Linked DNA regions of Arabidopsis thaliana. The protein of the gene in region 2 interacts with the protein of the main gene of each other region in a pairwise test. Each region holds a gene or a part of one and is shown on either strand. Other genes may lie near its edges. The genes, in order: KAT1, VAMP727, BRI1 and KAT3.

The links.
Region 1: the proteins of VAMP727 (region 2) and KAT1 interact in a two-hybrid assay, tested with the Arabidopsis thaliana proteins (one study listed by BioGRID).
Region 3: the proteins of VAMP727 (region 2) and BRI1 interact in a protein complementation assay, tested with the Arabidopsis thaliana proteins (one study listed by BioGRID).
Region 4: the proteins of VAMP727 (region 2) and KAT3 interact in a two-hybrid assay, tested with the Arabidopsis thaliana proteins (one study listed by BioGRID).

Annotation. Positions count from the first base shown.
Region 1 is NC_003076.8:18,742,999-18,749,156, forward strand, and holds KAT1 (1), read right to left. Parts: upstream 4,409-6,158; 5' UTR 3,564-4,408; coding exon 3,385-3,563; intron 3,230-3,384; coding exon 3,014-3,229; intron 2,930-3,013; coding exon 2,774-2,929; intron 2,679-2,773; coding exon 2,621-2,678; intron 2,467-2,620; coding exon 2,149-2,466; intron 1,993-2,148; coding exon 1,753-1,992; intron 1,671-1,752; coding exon 1,572-1,670; intron 1,497-1,571; coding exon 1,278-1,496; intron 1,203-1,277; coding exon 654-1,202; 3' UTR 512-653; downstream 1-511. Other genes in the region: AT5G46230 (hypothetical protein (Protein of unknown function, DUF538)), read right to left, coding at 1-26. UniProt on the Arabidopsis thaliana protein: Highly selective inward-rectifying potassium channel. This voltage-gated channel could mediate long-term potassium influx into guard cells leading to stomatal opening.
Region 2 is NC_003074.8:20,107,690-20,112,887, forward strand, and holds VAMP727 (vesicle-associated membrane protein 727), read right to left. Parts: upstream 3,195-5,198; 5' UTR 2,877-3,194; exon of another isoform or gene 2,672-2,876; intron 2,492-2,671; 5' UTR 2,439-2,491; coding exon 2,249-2,438; intron 2,149-2,248; coding exon 1,950-2,148; intron 1,864-1,949; coding exon 1,743-1,863; intron 879-1,742; coding exon 666-878; 3' UTR 518-665; downstream 1-517. Other genes in the region: AT3G54310 (DNA-directed RNA polymerase subunit alpha), read right to left, coding at 3,464-3,550, 3,627-3,899, 4,009-4,116, 4,229-4,276, 4,367-4,527, 4,856-5,198. UniProt on the Arabidopsis thaliana protein: Involved in the targeting and/or fusion of transport vesicles to their target membrane.
Region 3 is NC_003075.7:18,322,685-18,329,371, forward strand, and holds BRI1 (Leucine-rich receptor-like protein kinase family protein), read left to right. Parts: upstream 1-1,772; 5' UTR 1,773-2,141; coding exon 2,142-5,732; 3' UTR 5,733-6,147; downstream 6,148-6,687. Other genes in the region: PLS (polari), read right to left, coding at 6,505-6,615. UniProt on the Arabidopsis thaliana protein: Receptor with a dual specificity kinase activity acting on both serine/threonine- and tyrosine-containing substrates.
Region 4 is NC_003075.7:15,750,762-15,756,956, reverse strand, and holds KAT3 (potassium channel protein), read left to right. Parts: upstream 1-1,909; 5' UTR 1,910-2,159; coding exon 2,160-2,419; intron 2,420-2,645; coding exon 2,646-2,861; intron 2,862-2,954; coding exon 2,955-3,116; intron 3,117-3,224; coding exon 3,225-3,282; intron 3,283-3,384; coding exon 3,385-3,702; intron 3,703-3,794; coding exon 3,795-4,034; intron 4,035-4,119; coding exon 4,120-4,218; intron 4,219-4,362; coding exon 4,363-4,395; intron 4,396-4,492; coding exon 4,493-4,681; intron 4,682-4,769; coding exon 4,770-4,853; intron 4,854-4,944; coding exon 4,945-5,023; intron 5,024-5,120; coding exon 5,121-5,267; intron 5,268-5,371; coding exon 5,372-5,475; 3' UTR 5,476-5,686; downstream 5,687-6,195. Other genes in the region: AME3 (Protein kinase superfamily protein), read right to left, coding at 194-314, 472-561. UniProt on the Arabidopsis thaliana protein: Probable modulatory (alpha) subunit of inward-rectifying potassium channels. Could mediate potassium uptake from the soil solution by plant roots in association with AKT1.

The DNA.
Region 1 (6,158 bases), on a different chromosome or scaffold from region 2:
TCTGATTTCGTTTCTTGAGACGACATTTCGATGAGATTTGTGGTGGTGACTTTTTGGGGACTTTTTGCTGGATTTATATAGAGGTGTGAGTTTTGGAATTGAATGACGAAATTGGGTCTGTGGAAGAGGAAGGAGAATAGTATTAGAGAGGGTAACATGGAAATTTCGTATAAAATGAGGTGGGACGCATGCAGTTCATGTTCGTGGAATAATTTATTTTATTCGTTGATTGAATATAAAATACATTCGAGAATTTCTTATTTTGATTTTTTTTTATTACAAACATGTTGAAGTGTTTAAATTTAAAATAAATCAAACTGAATATACGCTTAATTTTCTGAAAAAAAAATTTCGTCTTTTTAATAGGTAAATTTCTTAAAATCTTTATTGATAATAGAGAAAAATAAAATTTTCTTGATTTATCATGTGAAACAAGTTCAAAGCAGAAGACTCGTGTAGAATAATGTTTTGTGTTCAAACAGAACGGTATCAATGTATCATAGTCAAGCTGTGAAATAAGATTGTGTTTTTGTGTCAATTAATGTCAGTTTTGTATACTCTGCTTTTGATAATCTAGACTTTTCTATGAAACCGGGTAAAAATACATTATCTGCAGATATACATGCTCTATAAATGAAGTCGAGTTTTCAAACTCAATTTGATGAAAAATACAAATGATCACCATCCCAAATGACATCTAAATCATCAATCTCAGCGTTGTCCGCATTGGTGATCTTTGTGAAGTTGCAGCCTCCAAACTTCTCACTTGCAAGTCTTAGAAGCTCTTCTATGGATGATGGTAAGAGTATCAACTTCCCGTTCTTGCTCTCAGACATCATGTGGATGGTAACTCTCTTTTCTTCTCGTTTGCATGGCTTGATGATTTGGTTGCTTGAGCTGCAATATGGATCTTTTTTCGATGAATCGTTAGCGTAACTTCTTCCAGCGGTTTCACTACTTGATCTTTCCACTTTGGCTCTCTCTATCTTTTGTTCCTTAAGTATCTTCTTAACCATTTCAGTATCTTCCTTGTGAATCGCATCCATTAGAGCAGTGTCGGAAGTCGGATTCGTAACATCTAAACCATAGCCATCTTTTCTTGAATCTCTCCACTCTTCCCATCCCATGCTTTTGAAATCTCTGTTTTCGTGACCACTAGTATTCGAATCATCTATTGCTATTGACTGTTGCCCTCTAAGTTTCTGAAAGTTTTATAGCCAAAAATGAGTTTAGAGTTTGTTTTAACTATAGAAACATTTCTATAATAACTCACATACCATGAAGAGATTGTTCATGATGACTCGTCCATCGTCAGCATGAGCATGCATCGCACTCATCAGCGATGTTCTGCTTATCCGCAGTATTTGAGATAGCTCGGTTGTTCTTACTGTGAATGGTTGTGGTCTATAGTATAAAACTCCAACCTCTCCAAATGTTTCTCCAATTACTGCTTTCCCTTGAAACTGATCATGTCCATCAACGTAGACAGTGAAGTCCTGTACAATACACAATGTTACAAGATTCCTAACTGTTATTCACATATTTACATATAACCGATATATTTCACTCACCACTGCTCCTGACACCAGAATGTAAAGATCAGTAGGAGCTTCGTTTTGTAGAATTATATCTTCTTTTGGTGGGAAATACTCAGCGTCTATATCTGAAACCTTGAACATGAAAAGGTACATGGAGTTGGTCACCTCTTACATATTAAACGTTAAGAAAAAAGGTTAGAGAATACAATTTTACCAATTGAAAGAGGAAGTTACGAGAAACTCCTTGAAAGAGGTAAATGTTGTGAACAATGGGGAAGAATAAATAGTTTGCAATGCTTGACCGGATTGCTTTTGGCAGATTGTTCAAGGTCTCTTGTTGTTTCAAGCCCTCTGTTTTGAACTTTAAGCAAATGTGTGATAACATTTGATCTTGTATGTCATGTGGGAGTTGATTTCTTGAAGCAAACTCTGAAGCAGCTCTCACTGAATCCCTCTGTTTAACACAAAGCAATAAAGCATTACAGATTAGTAATACTCAATATTATTTTAGTCAACTTAAAATACTCAAAAGTACGTAAACCCCACGCTATTACCCGAACCTTTATCCGAAATGAACATGCCTAGACTAAAAGAAAGTGATCAAACTTACAAAGGTTCTGGTTCGGCTAGTCCAATGAACGACGAGGTTGGTCATATTTCCAATGAGGTAAGCTGTCAAACCGAGGTTGAACATCATGAAGAAAATGTCAAAAAGCATTTCTCTTGGGTTCTCAGCATGAAAATCTCCATATCCCGTGGTCGTTAATGTCGTAATGGACCAGTAAAGAGCAGTCACATATCTATTCCATAGACTTGCTTCTTTGAAATTTGGATACACAGCTCCAATCCATGTCTTTCTTGGATTAGGATATCTATCTGCAATCAGGTAGTTGAAACATCCAGCACAATGTATAGCGAACAAAGTGACCTGAGATCAACAAGCACGTGTAAGTCACTAGCTTTAATATGGTGTCCATTTAAAAGACAAATAAACCCTAAGAATAGATCACCTAAATGGACAGCCCTAAGCTTAAAATGCTTTATTATAAGTGAGATTAGTTTTGCTCTGTTTTGGAACTAACCGAAATGAGTTTTGTGCAACGTATCCAGAAATAGTTGAAACGGATATCTTTCTCAAGCCTGAAGCAAAGGTAAGAGTTAGTTAGACTTGAGTAAGCACTTTCTTAGTTAAACCCTAAGAAGAGTATGGTCTCTTAGTTAGCATAGAAGCAAACCTTGCAAATAGCGAGCTAACTCGCCGGAGACGCCATAACCTGAGCATGCTAAGAATTCTGAATCCTAGTTCGCTTCCGTTGTAGTTAAACAAGAGGCTTAGTGGCTGAAATGGTGCTGTGGAACAAACATCGAAAGCGAACCACGTCGAAAGGTACCTGAAAATGTTACAATTTCAAAACATACTTTGAGATTCTCATTCACTTATAAAAGGTTTCAAGTTAAGAAAAAAGGTTTCTCACCTTATTGCTATTTTCTTAGGACTGTCAACTAGAAGATAGGAGTGGCTATCGAGATAAGCGACGAAGAAGGTGAGAATAATATCAATGGCGAAGAAGCCATTAACAATGTTGTCGATGATGAAAATCGCGTCTTTTTTATAGGTGATGAAAGCAAATTGAAATGGGCAAATCCAAGCTGAGTAAATAACTAGTAATACTAGCCACATCTCCCACGCTCTGTTTCAACAAACAGAGGATTGAAAACAGAGTCTTTAAATATACTTATAACGTGAGTAAAAACAGAGTAGTTAAAACTACTTATAACCTGAATAGTTGAAAACATAGTTGAAAACAGAGTACTTAAAACAGAGTTTAGTAGATGAGAAAATTACCTGTAACGTGGATTAAAAGGAGAGATTATGTGTTTGCGGAGCTTAGTAGATTGGTTGATCCTGGCTCCAAGAGATGGTAGAAGATCGGCAGAGAGGAAACTACTCTGTTTTATGGTGTCTATATTGTATTCCTCGACGCAGAATCTTTCGAAGAAATTTCGAGTCCAAGAGATCGACATCTTTTTGATGATCTCTAAAGACAAAGAAACTGTTATACCTTTTTAGGCTTTCTTCTTGGCAAGGTAGTTATAAATAGTGATGAAGCTTGTGACAAAGCAACACGGGGAAACTTCTCTTTTCTTCTTCTGTTGGGACCTTTATGGCAACTTGTTGTGACCCATTTGTTATCTTTTTTTCTTTTTGGTTGAGAATTTGGCAGGGAAAGGTTAACGGCTTTAAGAAGACTCAGTGCACCATTAATGCTGCAAAACCAATATGGTTTCGATTCGAGAAGCAACAATGGTGAAGAAAAGGCGTAAAATGCGGAACGGAGTAAGTGTGAGATGATCAAAAATCTTGAGAGATGAGACAGAATTTAAGTGGCAAACATTGAGCTTTTGCGGTAGATATCATCATATTTTGTTTCTTTTTTGACACGAAAATATAAGATTCGAAAGAGGAGGAAGAAGAAGAGGAAACGCAATCTGTTTCTTTGGAGGTTTCTACTTGATGAGATTCATGACTATCAGACTATGGTGTGATGTCCACTTTCCTAGCATTTGAAGGTGGGAGTGATATATAGACATAGAGACACATATAAAGGAAGGAAGGTACGTTTGGTGTTTGGTAAGTGTTAATGGGAGGACAAAAATGGGCATGAAAATTATGGTGTGTTCATTTCAGGAATCCAGAAATGGACCAAGCAAAATAAAGAAAATAAAATGGCATTTGACAGAATATGTAAGGGGCCAGAGTATATTTTTTTTTCTTTCTTCGAAAAAAGTTTTATTTTCTCATCAACTATTCTTAAAGTATATGTCTCTATTTTATTTTCTAGTCCCCAAAACCAATCATAAGTTTATTGTACTCATTGCAAAAAAAAAAAAAAAAAAGTTATTGTTCTCATTTTGGATTGAGTTTTACTAAATAGCCATAAACTTGGAAGATTATTTCCAAAACACTCATATAGAAAATATAGTAGTCCATTTAATCTTTTTGCATGGGAAGTGAAACTCTAAGATTATTTTACCGAAACAGCTTATATAATGTATTATTATTATAGAAGCTACGTGAACTCTCCACGTGGATAAACCGAATCTAGGTAGCGAATGAGGCTCTCTAAACAGTGAAGTCCCAAACTCTCTTCTCACTCGGACACACTCGCTGGCTCGCAAGCAATATGTCTTTGTTGTGTTTTGACTTTGGTTTATACTTAGTACTTAGGAGAAGACACACCAATAGGAGATCTTCACGTGGTGGGTTTTTTCATGTGTGTACACTTGATTTCTTGTCCGTCCCATACTTCTCATTCCCGTCGGTATGGTGGCCCCTCCCTTCTCCTTCATGTTCTGATTCCATTTACTAATTTCTTATAAACCCTTTCTAGATATATGTATGTTTTCATTTCTCTAGTGTGCTAGACTCTTTATATCTTAATCTCACTAATAAAGGAAAAATACGTAATTTATAAATTTTAACAAAATAATAAACTTGATTTCTAAATTCTTAATTAAGAATTTAAAAATGACATCTTACTCATAGGAGGAAATATATGAAATGATAAATCCCATAAACTGTGAAAGAACAAATCTAGAGTTTAAAACACAACATGATAAAATATATATAACATGGCTATAAATATTTTTAACAAAAAGGTGATAAATTATAGATGAATTGTACATTGACTACATTCTGTGCAAATGAACATGTGCTAACCTTTTCTAATGCGGTTATAATTGACATGGGAAAACAAAAGAAAAGAAAAAAGAATCAGGAATTTTTTCTACAATAGGAACGAGAAATGAGAGAAAACAAATTGAAACAACTAAGAATAAAGTTATGAAAAATCATGGTTTATAATAAAACACATTTGTATACGAATATTGATTTTTTGGTAATCCTAAATATTTGACTAAACTTTTGTTTTCGTTCGCTAGTATAGAATGCCAAGTATAAATTCTTCAAACCTTTCCGCCAAATTTGTATTATTAAATCATTCCAAAGCTTTTTGTTTCTGCGTCGATCTGAGCCCGTTCGAATGTATCTTTCATGATTCCTTGTTGATATTTTGTTTATTGTCTTCCTGAATCCTAATATCATTATAGAAACAAAACAAAACAAAATAAAGTAAATGAGAGATTCCTAATATAAACATAACATGAGCTAACTTTAATATTATTTTCTCGTGATTAATTAGTTTTGCCAATAAAAGTTTTATATTAGGTTTTATGATCTAACTTACTTTTTAAAAGATGATTATAACTATTGAAAAATGAATTATTTCGGCTTTCAAATTTTAGTATTTTGTGATTTTTTTTTTGTTTTTTAATTTCGGTTATTCATATATTTCAAATCAAAAGGAATTACTGGGTTACTAAACCTTGCCTTAAAAGACCAGAAATCGTAAACTGCTTTAAGTTTGCTATTTGCTGTCTTCCTAGTGCAAGTGGGGTTGTTCATGTTAACTGTTTAAATTTAAGTTTAAGCTGTCACATGCATGCTAAGAGTAGTGTAGGGTCTAAAAATTTGTTAGTTATTTTTGTTGTTGTGGGCCATCATAAGTCTTGGAATCGGTTGGTCTAAACCTGTTTTATACCTTCTTCAAACTACATTGG
Region 2 (5,198 bases):
TATAAATTCTCACCATCCTCAGTCATAGTAAAAACGAAGCCAACCATATATGCTTATTCATATCTCCCTTTATATCTGTAGACAATAGACAGAGAAGTTGATGTGGGGATAATTGAAAAGGTACGAAATATCCCTTTATGAAATTATTTCATATCCGCTTTATCAAACGAGAAACGGTGTAAAAAAACAACTAGCAGACATTACTTTGTTACCTTTTTTGTTCCTCCCATGTGATTTGCCCTACTTAACCTCACCTTTACGCTTCACCTTTTGCTCTTTGCTTCATCAGCCACAGAGTTTAAAAGCCGTAACATTCTATTTCGCTTTTGGGTCATCATTGTTTGCTTCTTCTTTTTTTCTCTGTAAAAACTTTATACAGTACCTACAATTTTCTTGTTCTTTTTTCTTAATATCAGTCGAAGCCTAAATGACATAACCGCATACACTACACACATGTATCTTGGAGATCACCATAAAGAAAATTGCTGATCGCATAGAATAGAACAGACACGGCAACTTGAGAACAAAAACATTTTTTTTATATATATAGCATCACAGCATGTGGGAGATGATGATGATATGATGATATGTTATTATAAGTTCTTCCATGTACAAACATGAGCATGCAATTTAAGTGTTAAAACAGATACAAACGAAGCGAAACATCATGATGAGCATTTGAAACCTCCACAAGCAACAACCCAAACGATGAGAATAAAAGAGAAAACAGCACCAGCCACCATCAGCTTCATCTGCAGACTCTGTAGCCACATCTTCCTTCTTAACTGCCTTCCTTGTCTCTGGAAGCTATCTGCCTGGAACTGTAGGTTCTCGGTTTTGTCAACCAGAAGTTCGATCTTCTCTCCTCTGTCCAGAACCTGTTAAAATAACATCAAAGATAATCATCAAAAAGGCTGCAAATCCTCTCCGTTTCATTCTCATAATCAACATCTATTGGCATAAGCTAGTTCAGTGAAAATGGGACAAACCCCATCTTCTATTGGAGATGATAGTGCGACAAATTCTGAAGTTACTCTGGTTGCCTAACCTTTTACAGCACCAAAAAACTAGATTTTGTTGAAAATTACTTGCAGTTACTTTTTATAACATTATTGACCTCAAACTTAAGGCAAATAGAAACATAGTCCACAGAGCAAAAGCGACAGATGATATATCGTGACTTGGAACAGCACTATAGCACAACCAACTCCTTCCTATGATGAGAAGCAGGGAGTTCATGCTATAATTATCCCATTTAGACTTCCTCAGTACTAAATTTTAACAGAGGCGTGTATGAAATCAAGCCGGTTAAAAGGCAGAACAGGGGTCTGGAAATCTAATTCAAGCTGCGTGCAACTTCTTAGTTTCTATCAGACTTAGATACTAAAGTCCATTCTGTCACAGTTTTAAAAGTTGACAAAGGTCTGGAAAGAAAACACAGTAATTCACAAACAATATAATTATACCAGATATAGGTTAATGAAAGAATGGTTGTGAGAAAAGCAATTGATACATTTATCCAGTAAAACTACCATGGAAGTAAACCTATTTATTTGGTGTCAAATATCTCTTCTAGAAAGTATTTGTTGTTCAGCATCTTTCCTACAGTACTTTTTTGTAATTGCAAAATCATGTGGATAAAAATGTTGTCACCTTAAACCAAAAAAGTACAAGATCTGCGTGCTACTGTTAATTAAAATGTCTAAGCTAGTTCATCTTTTCTTATAACGACAAAAGCATACCTTCTCAATGTTGTCCATCATGATCCCCTTGACCTCAGTTATTTGGGCCTTCAACTTAGAAAGTTTGCTCATCTCTTCTGGATGGCTCATACAATACTGCATATGCTCCTTTAGTATGGGCCTATTAGAGGGGAAAGAAAAGAATCAGAACACAGTTGCAATGCGAAACAATGAAGTGATATCAGATAGTTACAGCTATAGACAGACCCGAACTCCCTGTCAAGATTGTATGCAACGCTAAACCGATCTCCAAACAAATCATCATCTTCGTCCTCATCCGCAAGAGGATGTCGCTCATCATTCTTTATACTCGCTTCATACCGCTTCTTAAAGTCTTCCTTGACCCGTTCGAGAAACACGAAAGGAACACTTCTTCCGGTGGACTCATCAGCAACCACTAGAAACACTATACACGCAACAATCACAAAGCATCACCAAATCCGAAGTAAATTAAAAAAGCTTTCAACTTATCAACAAGTAGAAAAAGGCTAAGAAAGAAAACTCACCAAAGCCATTGTCAACAAGGAAATTGAAAGTATGACCATCGCAAGAGTAAGTATACTTGCTGCTATTTGTGGGTAGCTTCTGCAGACATTGAACAGCAATGGTGCTAAAGTTTCCTGAATAAGGAGTATGCTCTGCTAGAACAACTGTTCCTTTAGCAACAAAGCTATATATCAAACCCTTTTGACTCATTATTGTACTCGTGAAACCTTTGAAGAAGAAGTCAACCACAACCACAATCAGATCTGGAATGCAAAACCAAATATGGAATCATAATCCAGAAATATATATATGGAAAACTATAGATCACTGTAGAAATCAGATAAAACCCTAAAACACCAAGAGGAGGATAACAGTAAATCGCAAAATCGGGAGATAAAATCACTAATCGTATAGAATCGCGATTTATAATTGAGAAGAATTACACCGAAGCGCAACAATTATAAATCGGAAAACGTGTTCTTATGCTCCGATTAGGTTGAAAATCGACGCAATTAAAAGATCGGTGCTATTTACTTCCGGAAGAAAAGTATAGAGATATGATCGGAGAAGACGAAATTGAAGGAGGAATCAAACGACGCATAGCAGTAGCAGTAGCAGAAGAAACAAAAGCGAGAGAGGAATGAGTACCTTGAGACTTAGCTTGGTGATGAAGGATTAGGCTCAAATTCTCAGGAATCTGGTAATATCAGACGACGACGAGTCACGACTAGTTTTAGCTTTTTAGGCTTTTAGCAGGAGATGATATGACATAACTTAATGCTGATTAATTCTTTAATCACCAAATGGTTTGGTTTGATTGTTTCCGGTTTCGGTTCTCGGTTTATGAAAGTTAGCTATTGAAATCGGAAACCCATTCTATTTCGCCTTGGTTTGATACTTTGATTTGGATATTACCGGTTCTTTATTATTTTTTCGGGTTAGAATTGAAATGACCGTAACTGTGTTCGGTATGGTTCCTTTGTGATGGGTAAATTAATCATCAGTCATAAATTCTGAATTTGTTAAATTTACAGATCACACCTGAAAACTGATGAAAACGTACACGCAAACAAAGTTGATTATCTAAACGATAATCAAATACTTTTTCCAATCCAAAAGATAAAAGATAATGTGAATATTGCAACAAAATTAGATGAGCCAAAATATGAAAAAAGCAGCAAAGTTTGGAGTAAGTGACACAAACTGGAAACACACCAGAAACAAAGTGACTAACACTAAACTTCTTTCAAAAAGTATTCCCAAACCGCTTTCAGACAATCTTTCAGCATGTCTGAAACACATTTCCTCTCCACATCTTCCTCCTGAAATTGTAAACATAACTATTGTCACTTGTTGACTATCACTACAATTAAAAGACCATGTCTAAACAAAAAATACCTTTAGTAGTATAGTACTTAATGCTTTTAGTTTGAAATTCACTTCACTTGAGGTTCCTCCAACTCCAGTTCTGAAATCATATCGATCAGCCTCTCGGATTTGAAGCCTCATAGTCTGGTTTATGTACGTAGTAGTTACAGTATGCCAAACACCACAAACAATGTATCGATCCGCACAAGAAGATTTCCCAAGTGGCCACTTTAACCCACCTTTCACAGTTGGATCTACCACCGCTGAATCAGTCAATTCTTTAAGATTCGTAATCTCATTCTCCTGGATACAATCGAAGAACCATGTTTCACATTTTAATCTACACCACTTGCTAATATTCTTCAACTCATTCTCTTGGATACTAAATATGGATTAGACAAAGTCAACTCACAGAGAGATTGGTTAATGTCCTTTTTGAGTCAACCATCAACCTCATGTCAAGATCTTGATCAAGGCATGAGACGTCAAGATTTAAGTGCCTCAAAGCATTAAGCTCAGCCTGAATAAAAACCAAACAAAAGCTTCAATATGATTCACTTAAAATGTGGTAAGTAGGGGAGATGAAAAGGACTTATCTTATAGAAATTGAGTCGTTTATTTTGTTGGTCCACCATACATTTACATGAAATGGTTACATCAGGACGAGTGTTGTCTGAGACCTAGAAAATCAGAAACCAAAACCACAAAAGAATTAAAATGAAATTACAGACACAATCATGAATCTCTAACATAAGAAATAACAAAACCACCTTCACGTGATACAACTCTTTGGTTTCTTCAACACAAAATCCCATTTTGTGTACAGCTCTATACCCAACATTTTCGACATAAGACTTTGGGACATTTGTACGAAACATTTTCTTCAATTTCTCCAAAGTGCTTTTAGTTAACGGACCATCTCTTAGAGTTCCTGATGAACTAACACTGCATCAATTTGATAAGATAACAATCGGTAAACTTGTTTATTCAACATAAAAAAGACTTGATTAGCGAGAAATGCGCAATCCAACTATAGTTTCTAAGTTGTCTAGATAGTAGATAACCGACTCAACTATAGTGTCCAAGTTGTCAACACAGTTTCAATCCACTACAAACCACCTACGGTAATTACAATGCTCTTAAACCAACACTAGGCTAATCACTAACCCTGCCCCAGGTAAAACAGAGTTTGTGTGTGTCCCTAAAAACTGAAAATTTGAGGAGAAGTCAAAAACCTTACTCATGGAAAACAACATTACCAAACCGAGCGATCAGTCTGAGTTTGACATCCTCTGATCCACCATAACCTAGCAACGTCTTCTTTGCCCTATCAAATCCCATTATAATGTCATCCTCCACTTTCTCTGTCACCCATAACCATGGATTTTCCAGTTTTCCCAAATCACTCTTCGCTAAGATTACCAAAGATTTTTCTTCTGCGTCTTTCCTCCACTCTGAAGAACCGGGCACAAGTTGAAAGTTGCTATCCTCTGGATCCGAACCAACGAGAAACCATCTAGAAATGTAACCGTTTGCGTAGATTATCTTTGTATTAGTACTCCCGACGTTTTTATTGTGTTTTTTAAGAAGAGAAGGTGGAAC
Region 3 (6,687 bases), on a different chromosome or scaffold from region 2:
GATAGATAGACACACTCTCTCTCTCCACCAATCGCACTCACCTCCATGAGCGCGTGTAGACCACGTCGCAATGGTGGCTCGATGTAGAAACAACGCCGTTTTGTGTTCACGTATGTCTGACGCGCGAGCAGAGAGCGTGGGTGATTTGTCACACGAGCGCTTATAAATGAGAGTGTGGGGAGGACAGTTTCGTCCCTTTTTTGGAAGTTAGAATCATTACACTATTTTGGCGTTTTGCTTGATTATGATGACATTATAGAATAAAATGTTCTATTATACGAAATTAATACATCACTAAACATACTTTTCATTCAGTTTGTATTTAAAAAGTTACTTGTACCAATATAGTATTCTATCAGGTTGTTTGTTTTTCTGTTCAATTGTACTTATACAAACCTTCCAAAAAAAGTGTTACACTTGCGATAGATAGTTACACAAATGTCATTCTCTATGATCTTCCTTCTTTATTTGAAAATGGTATCGCAGTATTATTCGCTGAAAGTTGAACCTTCAAACCAGTTACCATTGCAGACGACATTTTCTCTACAAAAGTTAAAGTGATAGTAACATATCTCGAATTTAATTGAAAAGTTTACTACTCAAGTAGTCAAGTTCCTGTTACCCAAAACTATGTGTATAAAGTGAATTTTTTGTTAATTATGTAACTATGTATACACCGGGTACAGCTGCACGTAGGGTTTGTACATAATTACGAAATATCTCTATAAAACTGCGACAGAAGGAAAAAATAATAGAATAAGGCTTTAAGAGAAGTTTGGTCTATCCGTCTATGTAAGTGCCAGAGAAAAAGAAAGCAGTTTAAAAGTGAAAGGAGGGATTAATTAGTGGGAAAAGGTTTATCGAAAACTAATAATAATACTTCTCTGATTATTAAAAAGAGATGGAATCTGCCATTAATTGACACTCATGTCCCAATCGTCTCTCACACGTACGTTCGTTTTTTTTTTTGTTTCTCTTTTGCAAAAAGCTATAGAGACAATCTCTCCTCCACTTTATTTTTAGTTTTTCTTTCAGATACAAGTGAGAGTGAACAAGAGAAGAGTGTTAATGTGAAATGTTTGTGGTTGGTGTGAAATTCATGTAAAAATATGTATGTATTACCTTAACATTAAAGTAAATTTGAACTCTTTCAAACTATCACATTGAATGCTCCAAATCTTGTTGTATATGAGTATCAATATAAAAGAAATTTAGATGCTTATACTATGTTCCATTTTTACTGAACACTACTTAACCATTAGTCCATAAATGTGGAATTAGTTAGTTGCTGGCATCTTTATATCAGAATCAAAAGTTTTGCATATTGGGTGACAGTGAGTGCATACACCAATAATTCACCGATCAAGATCCAACCAAGTAAGAAGAAAAATATAACATGAATTATCTTGATTTTTTTTTTAATAAAAATAAAAATCAATGAATATATATGCTTATTATAAAAAAAAACCCAGCACTAAACAGAAGATCAGATTAGACTTGTGTTTTAAAAATATTGAGAAGAGAATCAAGAGATAGGTGGTTGGGGGTAAAATGTATACAAATGTTACAATAAAGTCTTAAGAAGAGTTTAAAAAGGGTAAGTAGGATATGTAGCTTGCAGAAGACTTGATCCCATCCCCTAATCTCACGTTAATTAAACACCTCTCTCATGTACAGACAAAATACCTCATTTCTTTAACTTAAACTTAACAAAAGCTACTATGAGATTAAGGATTTTGTGATGCCATTATTTTATTTATTTTTAGTATCCTCTTGCATTAATTAACTTTTTTTTTATAACCACATACAATAATTAAAAGTAGTATTATTTGTTTGTATCTGTTATCGAAATTGAAATTAATATATATAATTTTTATAATAATCAGAAGAAGAGGTAACATGGCATGTGAGTGCACAGCTGTGACCACTCTTCCCTTCACCATTTGATAAATACCTTCTTCCATCTTCCTTCTTCTGTCTTTTGACTCTCTTCTCTCTCTCCTCTCTTTCTGCTTTCCTCAATCTCTCTCTTTCTATCTCTAGAGCTTCCACTTCCTCTCTAATGGTGGAACCAAAACCCTAGATTCCCCCTTTCATCTTCTCTACTTCCCACACTTTTCTCTCTCACAAACTCTTGAGAAATGAAGACTTTTTCAAGCTTCTTTCTCTCTGTAACAACTCTCTTCTTCTTCTCCTTCTTTTCTCTTTCATTTCAAGCTTCACCATCTCAGTCTTTATACAGAGAAATCCATCAGCTTATAAGCTTCAAAGACGTTCTTCCTGACAAGAATCTTCTCCCAGACTGGTCTTCCAACAAAAACCCGTGTACTTTCGATGGCGTTACTTGCAGAGACGACAAAGTTACTTCGATTGATCTCAGCTCCAAGCCTCTCAACGTCGGATTCAGTGCCGTGTCCTCGTCTCTCCTGTCTCTCACCGGATTAGAGTCTCTGTTTCTCTCAAACTCACACATCAATGGCTCCGTTTCTGGCTTCAAGTGCTCTGCTTCTTTAACCAGCTTGGATCTATCTAGAAACTCTCTTTCGGGTCCTGTAACGACTCTAACAAGCCTTGGTTCTTGCTCCGGTCTGAAGTTTCTTAACGTCTCTTCCAATACACTTGATTTTCCCGGGAAAGTTTCAGGTGGGTTGAAGCTAAACAGCTTGGAAGTTCTGGATCTTTCTGCGAATTCAATCTCCGGTGCTAACGTCGTTGGTTGGGTTCTCTCCGATGGGTGTGGAGAGTTGAAACATTTAGCGATTAGCGGAAACAAAATCAGTGGAGACGTCGATGTTTCTCGCTGCGTGAATCTCGAGTTTCTCGATGTTTCCTCCAACAATTTCTCCACTGGGATTCCTTTCCTCGGAGATTGCTCTGCTCTGCAACATCTTGACATCTCCGGGAACAAATTATCCGGCGATTTCTCCCGTGCTATCTCTACTTGCACAGAGCTCAAGTTGTTGAACATCTCTAGTAACCAATTCGTCGGACCAATCCCTCCGCTACCGCTTAAAAGTCTCCAATACCTCTCTCTGGCCGAGAACAAATTCACCGGCGAGATCCCTGACTTTCTCTCCGGCGCGTGTGATACACTCACTGGTCTCGATCTCTCTGGAAATCATTTCTACGGTGCGGTTCCTCCATTCTTCGGTTCATGTTCTCTTCTCGAATCACTCGCGTTGTCGAGTAACAACTTCTCTGGCGAGTTACCGATGGATACGTTGTTGAAGATGAGAGGACTCAAAGTACTTGATCTGTCTTTCAACGAGTTTTCCGGCGAATTACCGGAATCTCTGACGAATCTATCCGCTTCGTTGCTAACGTTAGATCTCAGCTCCAACAATTTCTCCGGTCCGATTCTCCCAAATCTCTGCCAGAACCCTAAAAACACTCTGCAGGAGCTTTACCTTCAGAACAATGGCTTCACCGGGAAGATTCCACCGACTTTAAGCAACTGTTCTGAGCTGGTTTCGCTTCACTTGAGCTTCAATTACCTCTCCGGGACAATCCCTTCGAGCTTAGGCTCTCTATCGAAGCTTCGAGATCTGAAACTATGGCTGAATATGTTAGAAGGAGAGATCCCTCAGGAGCTCATGTATGTCAAGACCTTAGAGACTCTGATCCTCGACTTCAACGATTTAACCGGTGAAATCCCTTCCGGTTTAAGTAACTGTACCAATCTTAACTGGATTTCTCTGTCGAATAACCGGTTAACCGGTGAGATTCCGAAATGGATTGGCCGGTTAGAGAATCTCGCTATCCTCAAGCTAAGCAACAATTCATTCTCCGGGAACATTCCGGCTGAGCTCGGCGACTGCAGAAGCTTAATCTGGCTTGATCTCAACACCAATCTCTTCAATGGAACGATTCCGGCGGCGATGTTTAAACAATCCGGGAAAATCGCTGCCAATTTCATCGCCGGTAAGAGGTACGTTTATATCAAAAACGATGGGATGAAGAAAGAGTGTCATGGAGCTGGTAATTTACTTGAGTTTCAAGGAATCAGATCCGAACAATTAAACCGGCTTTCAACGAGGAACCCTTGTAATATCACTAGCAGAGTCTATGGAGGTCACACTTCGCCGACGTTTGATAACAATGGTTCGATGATGTTTCTGGACATGTCTTACAACATGTTGTCTGGATACATACCGAAGGAGATTGGTTCGATGCCTTATCTGTTTATTCTCAATTTGGGTCATAACGATATCTCTGGTTCGATTCCTGATGAGGTAGGTGATCTAAGAGGTTTAAACATTCTTGATCTTTCAAGCAATAAGCTCGATGGGAGGATTCCTCAGGCTATGTCAGCTCTTACTATGCTTACGGAAATCGATTTGTCGAATAATAATTTGTCTGGTCCGATTCCTGAGATGGGTCAGTTTGAGACTTTTCCACCGGCTAAGTTCTTGAACAATCCTGGTCTCTGTGGTTATCCTCTTCCGCGGTGTGATCCTTCAAATGCAGACGGTTATGCTCATCATCAGAGATCTCATGGAAGGAGACCAGCGTCCCTTGCTGGTAGTGTGGCGATGGGATTGTTGTTCTCTTTTGTGTGTATATTTGGGCTGATCCTTGTTGGTAGAGAGATGAGGAAGAGACGGAGAAAGAAAGAGGCGGAGTTGGAGATGTATGCGGAAGGACATGGAAACTCTGGCGATAGAACTGCTAACAACACCAATTGGAAGCTGACTGGTGTGAAAGAAGCCTTGAGTATCAATCTTGCTGCTTTCGAGAAGCCATTGCGGAAGCTCACGTTTGCGGATCTTCTTCAGGCTACCAATGGTTTCCATAATGATAGTCTGATTGGTTCTGGTGGGTTTGGAGATGTTTACAAAGCGATTTTGAAAGATGGAAGCGCGGTGGCTATCAAGAAACTGATTCATGTTAGCGGTCAAGGTGATAGAGAGTTCATGGCGGAGATGGAAACCATTGGGAAGATCAAACATCGAAATCTTGTGCCTCTTCTTGGTTATTGCAAAGTTGGAGACGAGCGGCTTCTTGTGTATGAGTTTATGAAGTATGGAAGTTTAGAAGATGTTTTGCACGACCCCAAGAAAGCTGGGGTGAAACTAAACTGGTCCACACGGCGGAAGATTGCGATAGGATCAGCTAGAGGGCTTGCTTTCCTTCACCACAACTGCAGTCCGCATATCATCCACAGAGACATGAAATCCAGTAATGTGTTGCTTGATGAGAATTTGGAAGCTCGGGTTTCAGATTTTGGCATGGCGAGGCTGATGAGTGCGATGGATACGCATTTAAGCGTCAGTACATTAGCTGGTACACCGGGTTACGTTCCTCCAGAGTATTACCAAAGTTTCAGGTGTTCAACAAAAGGAGACGTTTATAGTTACGGTGTGGTCTTACTCGAGCTACTCACGGGTAAACGGCCAACGGATTCACCGGATTTTGGAGATAACAACCTTGTTGGATGGGTGAAACAGCACGCAAAACTGCGGATTAGCGATGTGTTTGACCCCGAGCTTATGAAGGAAGATCCAGCATTAGAGATCGAACTTTTACAACATTTAAAAGTTGCGGTTGCGTGTTTGGATGATCGGGCTTGGAGACGACCGACAATGGTACAAGTCATGGCCATGTTTAAGGAGATACAAGCCGGGTCAGGGATAGATTCACAGTCAACGATCAGATCAATAGAGGATGGAGGGTTCAGTACAATAGAGATGGTTGATATGAGTATAAAAGAAGTTCCTGAAGGAAAATTATGAGAGTTAGAAACAGAGCCAAAGCAGATTCTTTGAACATCAAAATCATCTAAGGGTCAGTCCGATTTTCCTTGGGTCTATTTTTTTTGTATTTTCTACTATATGCTAAGTGTATGTATCTATGTTATTTATACATAAGACGGATGTTTTTTTTTTCGGGCTCGGTCGAATTGGGGGTGGTGGAGAATAGAACTAAGTAATAACTTTGTTAAGAATATGTAAATATACAGTTTTTTGGGGAGGGATTTGTAATGTTTTCGTTTTTAGTTCTATGGAAATTTCTACGTTGCTAACAAATTAAATTTATAATGAATCATGAAGAAACAAAGAGCCAATGTGTATTAAATTTCGACTGATCATGTTCATGTAAATGCACGTGACCTATTAATTCATTATTGTCGGAATTAATTTGGGGAATTCACACTGCACGGGAATGGGAAAGTGAGAATAGATGAGACTTAAATTTGTTTTTATGGATGTTATATTTACATGACCAATGTGGTCCCTTTTGAACTATGCTGAGTTAAACGTTTTTTTTTTTGCTATATACTTATTACTGATGAAATTGAACCGTTGGACTATATTTATATCCATCTACGTTATTTTTTCCATTACTATTGATTTTGTTATTGGCCCAAGTAGAATCAAAAGAATGGTTTTTTGATGTCATAATTTGCAATATAGAAATGGGAGGGATATGTATTGCATAATAAGATAAAGATAAACCTTTATCGAGACATAAGATTGTATGTAGATATTGAAAATGATAGGGTGATCAATGGATTTTAAAAAGTTTAAACAATTTTGCTACTAATAAATAAGAGATTGATATATAACATGGAGAAATGGACCTTCGCCTGAAATTAAAACAAAGTCTGGGTTTCATTCATGTTTCAGTGAGACACTGCGCCAACATCACCACAACAAGTCTTACACAAGGAACGTGTGCCTCACGTGC
Region 4 (6,195 bases), on a different chromosome or scaffold from region 2:
GTTAAGCAATTAAAAATGTTCAGGAAGGATTCTCATCCCAATGAAACGAAAGCGAAAAAAGATTATCCCTAAGGCAATGGTGCCAAACAAAACAAAGAGTTACTAGCAACAATACACATATAGAAGCAACATAGGTAAATATCTTAGCTCACATAGAATAGAAAGTTAGCAACTTTATCCATCAAAAACTCACATCTAGGAGTGAGATTGTCCCTCAAACTGAAAACATAATGACCATCACGATCATCGTCCCTTAATGGTGGTGACAAAATCCTCCCATCGCTTCCATGTCCTTTAATCACAGCCCTTTTAGCCTATCACAAAAAAGTCAAAATTCATTCATTGTCAGCATATCAAAATCTCACCAAAGAAACATAAATGCTCGGTCTTTCCTCCACATTCTAAACCCTAATTCGAAGTTCTAAATGTCAAAGATTAATTAAAAAAAGAAGAAGAAGAAAGAGGAGCAACCTCTGGTTCAGCTGGGGCCTCGTCCCAGGTCATACGAGGACGTTTCCTGACTCGTTCTTTATCCATACTCTCGAATCCGTTAGCTATCATCACCGACGCGGAAAATCGATCACCGACACATCCAGAACGGAATCTGATGCCAATCTGCAGCTAAAAGAGGGAAAATTTCTACCAGAAACTCTTTACGTAGATGTAATCACAAGGCGGCGAATCGGGGAGAAGGTGATAATCTCCGAAAATGGTGAAAACAGAGGAATTGCTAGGGTTTGGAACTAGAGAGAGTGCAAGAGAAAGACAACTCCCAATAATTTTACCGGCCAAATCCCTTGGGGTCGAACCGCGACGACATCCACCAATTGCATTTTTTTTGCACTTTCCACCGAAAAAATTGGGTCTACACGATCACCCGGAATGTTTCGCCCACCCGGCCCAAATGAAATGTGGTGAGATCTTCTTATAATCTTGGCCCAAATTTCCATCATGGATCTTAAACGTTCGTTTCATTGTTTCTTGGATTTTTTTTCATTAACTGGTCCATCTCAAAATGGGCTTCCATAAAAATGGGCTTTTTTACAAAAGGGTTTTGTTTCATTAATTGATTTTCGTGTTTTTTTATCCGTAACAATTATGCTTTCGTTTCCTAATTTATACGAGCAAACGTAAAAATGTATAGTATTTGACTATTTGGTTTTACGTATCAACAATCAACAACATACTGTACATCAGTACATACACAATTTTTTTTTAACATACACAAACTTACTTTATGTACAAATGAACTATTAAGAAATGGCTTTAGCCTTGTTATTGCATGCATCTTCTTAATTTGTGTATGTGAAATTCTTCATAGGAGCTAATTAAGGGACGAAGACAAAGTGTATCCCCCTTCATGTATTACCTAAACGTATCTTAGAATTTCAAAACATTGTTTTCCTTAGAATTTTTTAAAAAAATTGTAAACATGCACATCCAACACTGGAAAGTGGAAAGAAGTATATATATATGATATGTTATCTCAAAAAAACTGAAATGATTGTATTAAAAACATACTAAATTCTGACTGATGATAGATATTGATACGTAATTCATTTGTTTATTATTGTTCGTTTTGTTTTCAACACTACTATTCCTGTCACGGTCTCATTTAATAACAACAACAAAAAAGACGTCAAGATTTGACTTTTGAGTTCCTCAATTTTTTCAACTCCAGTATTTAAACAGCTAATTATTACATAATTTATCGTAAGAAAAAAAAAAAAAAAAACCTTATCCCCCTGATATTGTAGATCTCGATTGTAATCACTACACCTGATGCCACATTAAATACACACAGAGACGTAAATAAGAGTCAAAAAAGTCGATGAAGCCTTCTGCATATATAACAACAAAGTTGAATATATAAAGAGTAAAATTCATCATACTACAATCTTGAAAAATTATAATTTATTAGATGGTTAAGTAAATTTGTTTTATAGTATTGTTATATTCTTTTTTTCCAAAAAATATAGGGAAAACAAAAACCAGTAAAAAAAAAAGTCAACTTAATTTGCTCACCACCTTCTTGATCATCTAAACACCTCTTTAATAATTCAAAACTAAAAAAAAAAGGTATAAATGAAAGAGACAAAAGAGGGAAGTATATATCATCAAGCTTGAAGAAGAGAGAGAAGAAGAAGAAGGAAAAAAGAATGTCTACGACGACTACTGAGGCGAGATCACCGTTGCCGTTGTTGTTGAGAAGAGGAAGGTCTTCGACGGCGTTATCGGCGTCGACGGCGGAAGCAAGATCGCCGTTATCGATACTGCAGTTCAGAAGAAGATCGAGCAAAGATGTGAGGAACATAACGTCAGTTTCGAGCAGTCTCTTGCCTGCTTTTGGGACTTTCATCGAAGATGATAATCCTTCTTCCAAACCTTTCATCGTTCTTCACTTTGATCGTCGTTACAGGTTCATTTCTCACTAACTAAACAACGAAGAAATGTTTTTTGGTTATCAAACAATAAATAGTGATTTACAGATTTCATAACTTTTCTGTTTCTATTAGTCCATAAATTAATGATCAAATGATTCGTTCATTAATTTTCATATTTTTACGTCTTAAAATTGTTATTTCTTATTAATATTCATATATCTTAATTTTTTTTTAATCTTTCCATATAAAAATTAATGGTAGGTTGTGGGAATTGTTTTTGGTGATATTGGTTGGGTATTCGGCGTGGGCATCTTTGTTCGAGTTGGCTTTCGAGAAAGCTGCCGAAGGAGCGTTATTGACCATTGATCTCGTCGTTGACTTCTTCTTCGCCGTTGATATCATCCTCACCTTTTTTGTTTCCTACTTGGATAATACTACTTACCTCAATGTCACCGACCACAAGCTCATCGCCAAACGGTAACAAATCAATTTGTTTTTATATGTTAAAAAAATAACATAAGTAAAATGAATAAGTTAGAATTGAATTATATATGTTGTGCATTATTATAGGTACTTGAAGAGCGTGGCTTTTGTGATGGACGTAGCATCAACGTTACCCATTCAATTCATTTATAAAACTATTACCGGAGATGTCGGACGAGGCCAAGCTTTCGGCTTCCTTAATTTACTCCGCCTCTGGCGTCTCCGTCGTGTAGCCGAACTCTTTAAAAGGTTTTTTCTTTACTACTTTCTATATAATATGCAATATTGAAATCCACTTATCATATAGTACATATGTGTGTGTCTATTTTACACTTCCTTTCTTTCTTTTTTTAACAGACTAGAGAAAGACGCACATTTCAACTATTTCGTGATCCGAGTCATCAAACTTCTATGTGTAAGTTTTACTTATATTGAATTATCTATATGTGGTCCATACAATCACTAAATTGGCTATGTCAATCTATGACTTTTATTCAAATTGTGAAATTTGATTCAGGTAACGATATTTTGGATACATTTGGCGGGTTGCATTTTATACTGGATAGCCTACCATTATCCAAGGCCTACGGATACATGGATAGGATCGCAAGTTGAGGATTTTAAGGAAAGAAGTGTATGGTTAGGGTACACTTACTCAATGTACTGGTCCATTGTCACACTCACTACCGTGGGTTACGGTGATTTGCATGCAGTTAATAGCCGTGAGAAGACATTCAACATGTTCTACATGCTTTTCAACATTGGCCTCACTTCTTATATCATCGGTATCATGACCAATCTAGTTGTCCATGGCGCTCTTCGTACATTCGCCATGGTATATAATCATTCATTGCTTAAACCCGAAAAGATTGTTTACTCATTCATTTACTCTACCAGTCGTACAATAATCATTCTTCTGCTGAACAGAGGAGTGCGATCAATGATATATTGCGATACACAAGCAAGAACAGGTTACCGGATACAATGAGGGAACAGATGCTTGCACATATGCAGCTCAAGTTCAAGACCGCGGAGTTAAGGCAAGAAGAGGTTCTTCAAGACTTACCTAAGGCCATAAGATCAAGCATTAACCAACATCTATTCCGCTCCATCATCGAAGAAGCTTATCTTTTTAAAGGATTCCCCGAAGGCCTCCTCGTCCAGCTGGTGATCGTCCATCAACAATTCCATTTTCTTTTGTTCCTTGTTAAACAAGGCAGTGGTAATTCATTCTTCTATGTTGTTGTTGTAGGTTTCGCAAATACAAGCAGAATATTTTCCGCCGAAAATGGAGATAATCTTGCAGAATGAGATTCCAACGGATTTCTACGTAATTGTATCTGGAGGAGTGGTATGATATATCTATATATCCTCTACATACTCATTCATTTATCCCGAAAAGATTGTTTACTCATTCATTTATCCCGAAAAGATTGTTTACTCATTCTTATTTATATTTGACTTCAACTGATTAAAAGAAAATTTGCAATTTTAGGATATAATTGCTTCCAAGGGTGTGAGTGAACAGGTAAAACTCTGAACAAATTTCAGTTATAAGAAAAACACATTTCATAAACTTAAAAGATTGAGATAGAGTATGAAGAGTTGGTTGATAAATGGTGAAGGTATTAGCGAAGTTAGGTCCCGGAAGTATGGCAGGAGAGATAGGAGTAGTGTTCAACATTCCTCAGCCTTTCACAGTGAGGACACGTCGACTTTCACAAGTTATCAGAATTGGTCATCATAAGTTCAAAGAAATGGTGCAGTCTGATAATGACGTCGACGCCAAAATGATCATTGCCAATTTCATGACAGTAAGTTTACATTCACAAAACGGTAGTAACATCAATATAGTGTTTATATTGTAACACTAATAATTAATGTTTCTTTCTTTAATTTCAGTATCTTAAGGGATTGAATGATGAGTTAAAAAAAGAAATTCCTTTTCTTAGAGATTTATTAGATGACGCAGATGCTCAGGTTCAGGTATATATACCTTCTTATAACAAATAATGCATAGTCCTCTCGTCAAAATTGTCAAGTGAGTTTGAGATGAAAACGCATTTTTTGGTGACAGGAAACAGTTCAGTCAGAGGAAACACCACAAAGTAACGATGAGGAAATAGTTACGGTCTCAAGACATGAAAATGGACAGAGTAAGAAGACATTTTTTTTTGTTGAAGACAGAGTAAAATGAACATGTTTTTTTGTATGTATAGAGACCCTTTTTTTAACAATGACATTTGATTGCAGTAGAAGAGAGAAGAAGAGAGGGAGTTCCAAAAAGAGTGATAATTCATGGACAAGCTCCTCCTAATCAAGATAACAAAAACAATGGTGATTCCAACGGTAGACTTATCATTTTACCTGACTCTATCCAACTTCTATTCGACTTAGCTGGTCAGTTTCACTCTTATGATGTCACTTCTCTTTACTTATACATTGAAAGTTTTTTAAAATTTAATATACTTTATATTGAACTCATAAAACTATGGTGGATGCAGAGAAGAAGTTGGGGAAACGAGGAAGCACGATTGCAATGGCAGATGGTGCACATGTTGAACAAATTGATGCTCTTCGAGAAAACGATCATTTATATATTTTCTAATTCGTTTATAAATATATATATTCACAATTATCACTTCCCACACAAATAATGATACAAAAAAAACTATATTTTTGTTAGCGTAAGGTGCTTATGAAAAGATGCAAAGTCAGATATATGAAAATATAAGGTGAAGATCGAATTCCCAATTCCACTATTATGAACTTGCTTCTTATCTTTTTGACATCTTGAACTTAAAATTATGTTTGATTGAAGATTGCATTAGCATACAACAAAAGTACCATTGTTGCATACATTTTAGCATTTTCTCTTATTACTGAAACAATTCTCTTTAAAACATTTGCATCAACGGCTACTTATAAAGTAACTAAAAACCATAAAAGCAGTGAACACTGGAGAAGATTGACCTATCAATAATGGTGATGATCATTCTCAAATAGGGGGTCTCCTGTTCGATATTCGTCATTGGATGGCAAAACTATCCAACGTCACTCTTCTCCACGTCAATCGTGAACGAAATAGTGCTGCAGATAAGATGGCTCAATATGTTTTGTCTACTACTACTCTGTATCAGTCTTTTATTGTTCCTCCTCGTTTCTTACTCTCTTATTTGTATCAACCTTATACAATCTAATAAAGTTGTAGTAGTAGTTGTTAAAAAAAAAAGAAAATAACAATTATTTCATATTTTACACTGCATTGTACATCAAAGACTTTTATTTGTATATTCGGTAACAACCAACAAAAAAAAAAGTATTTGAA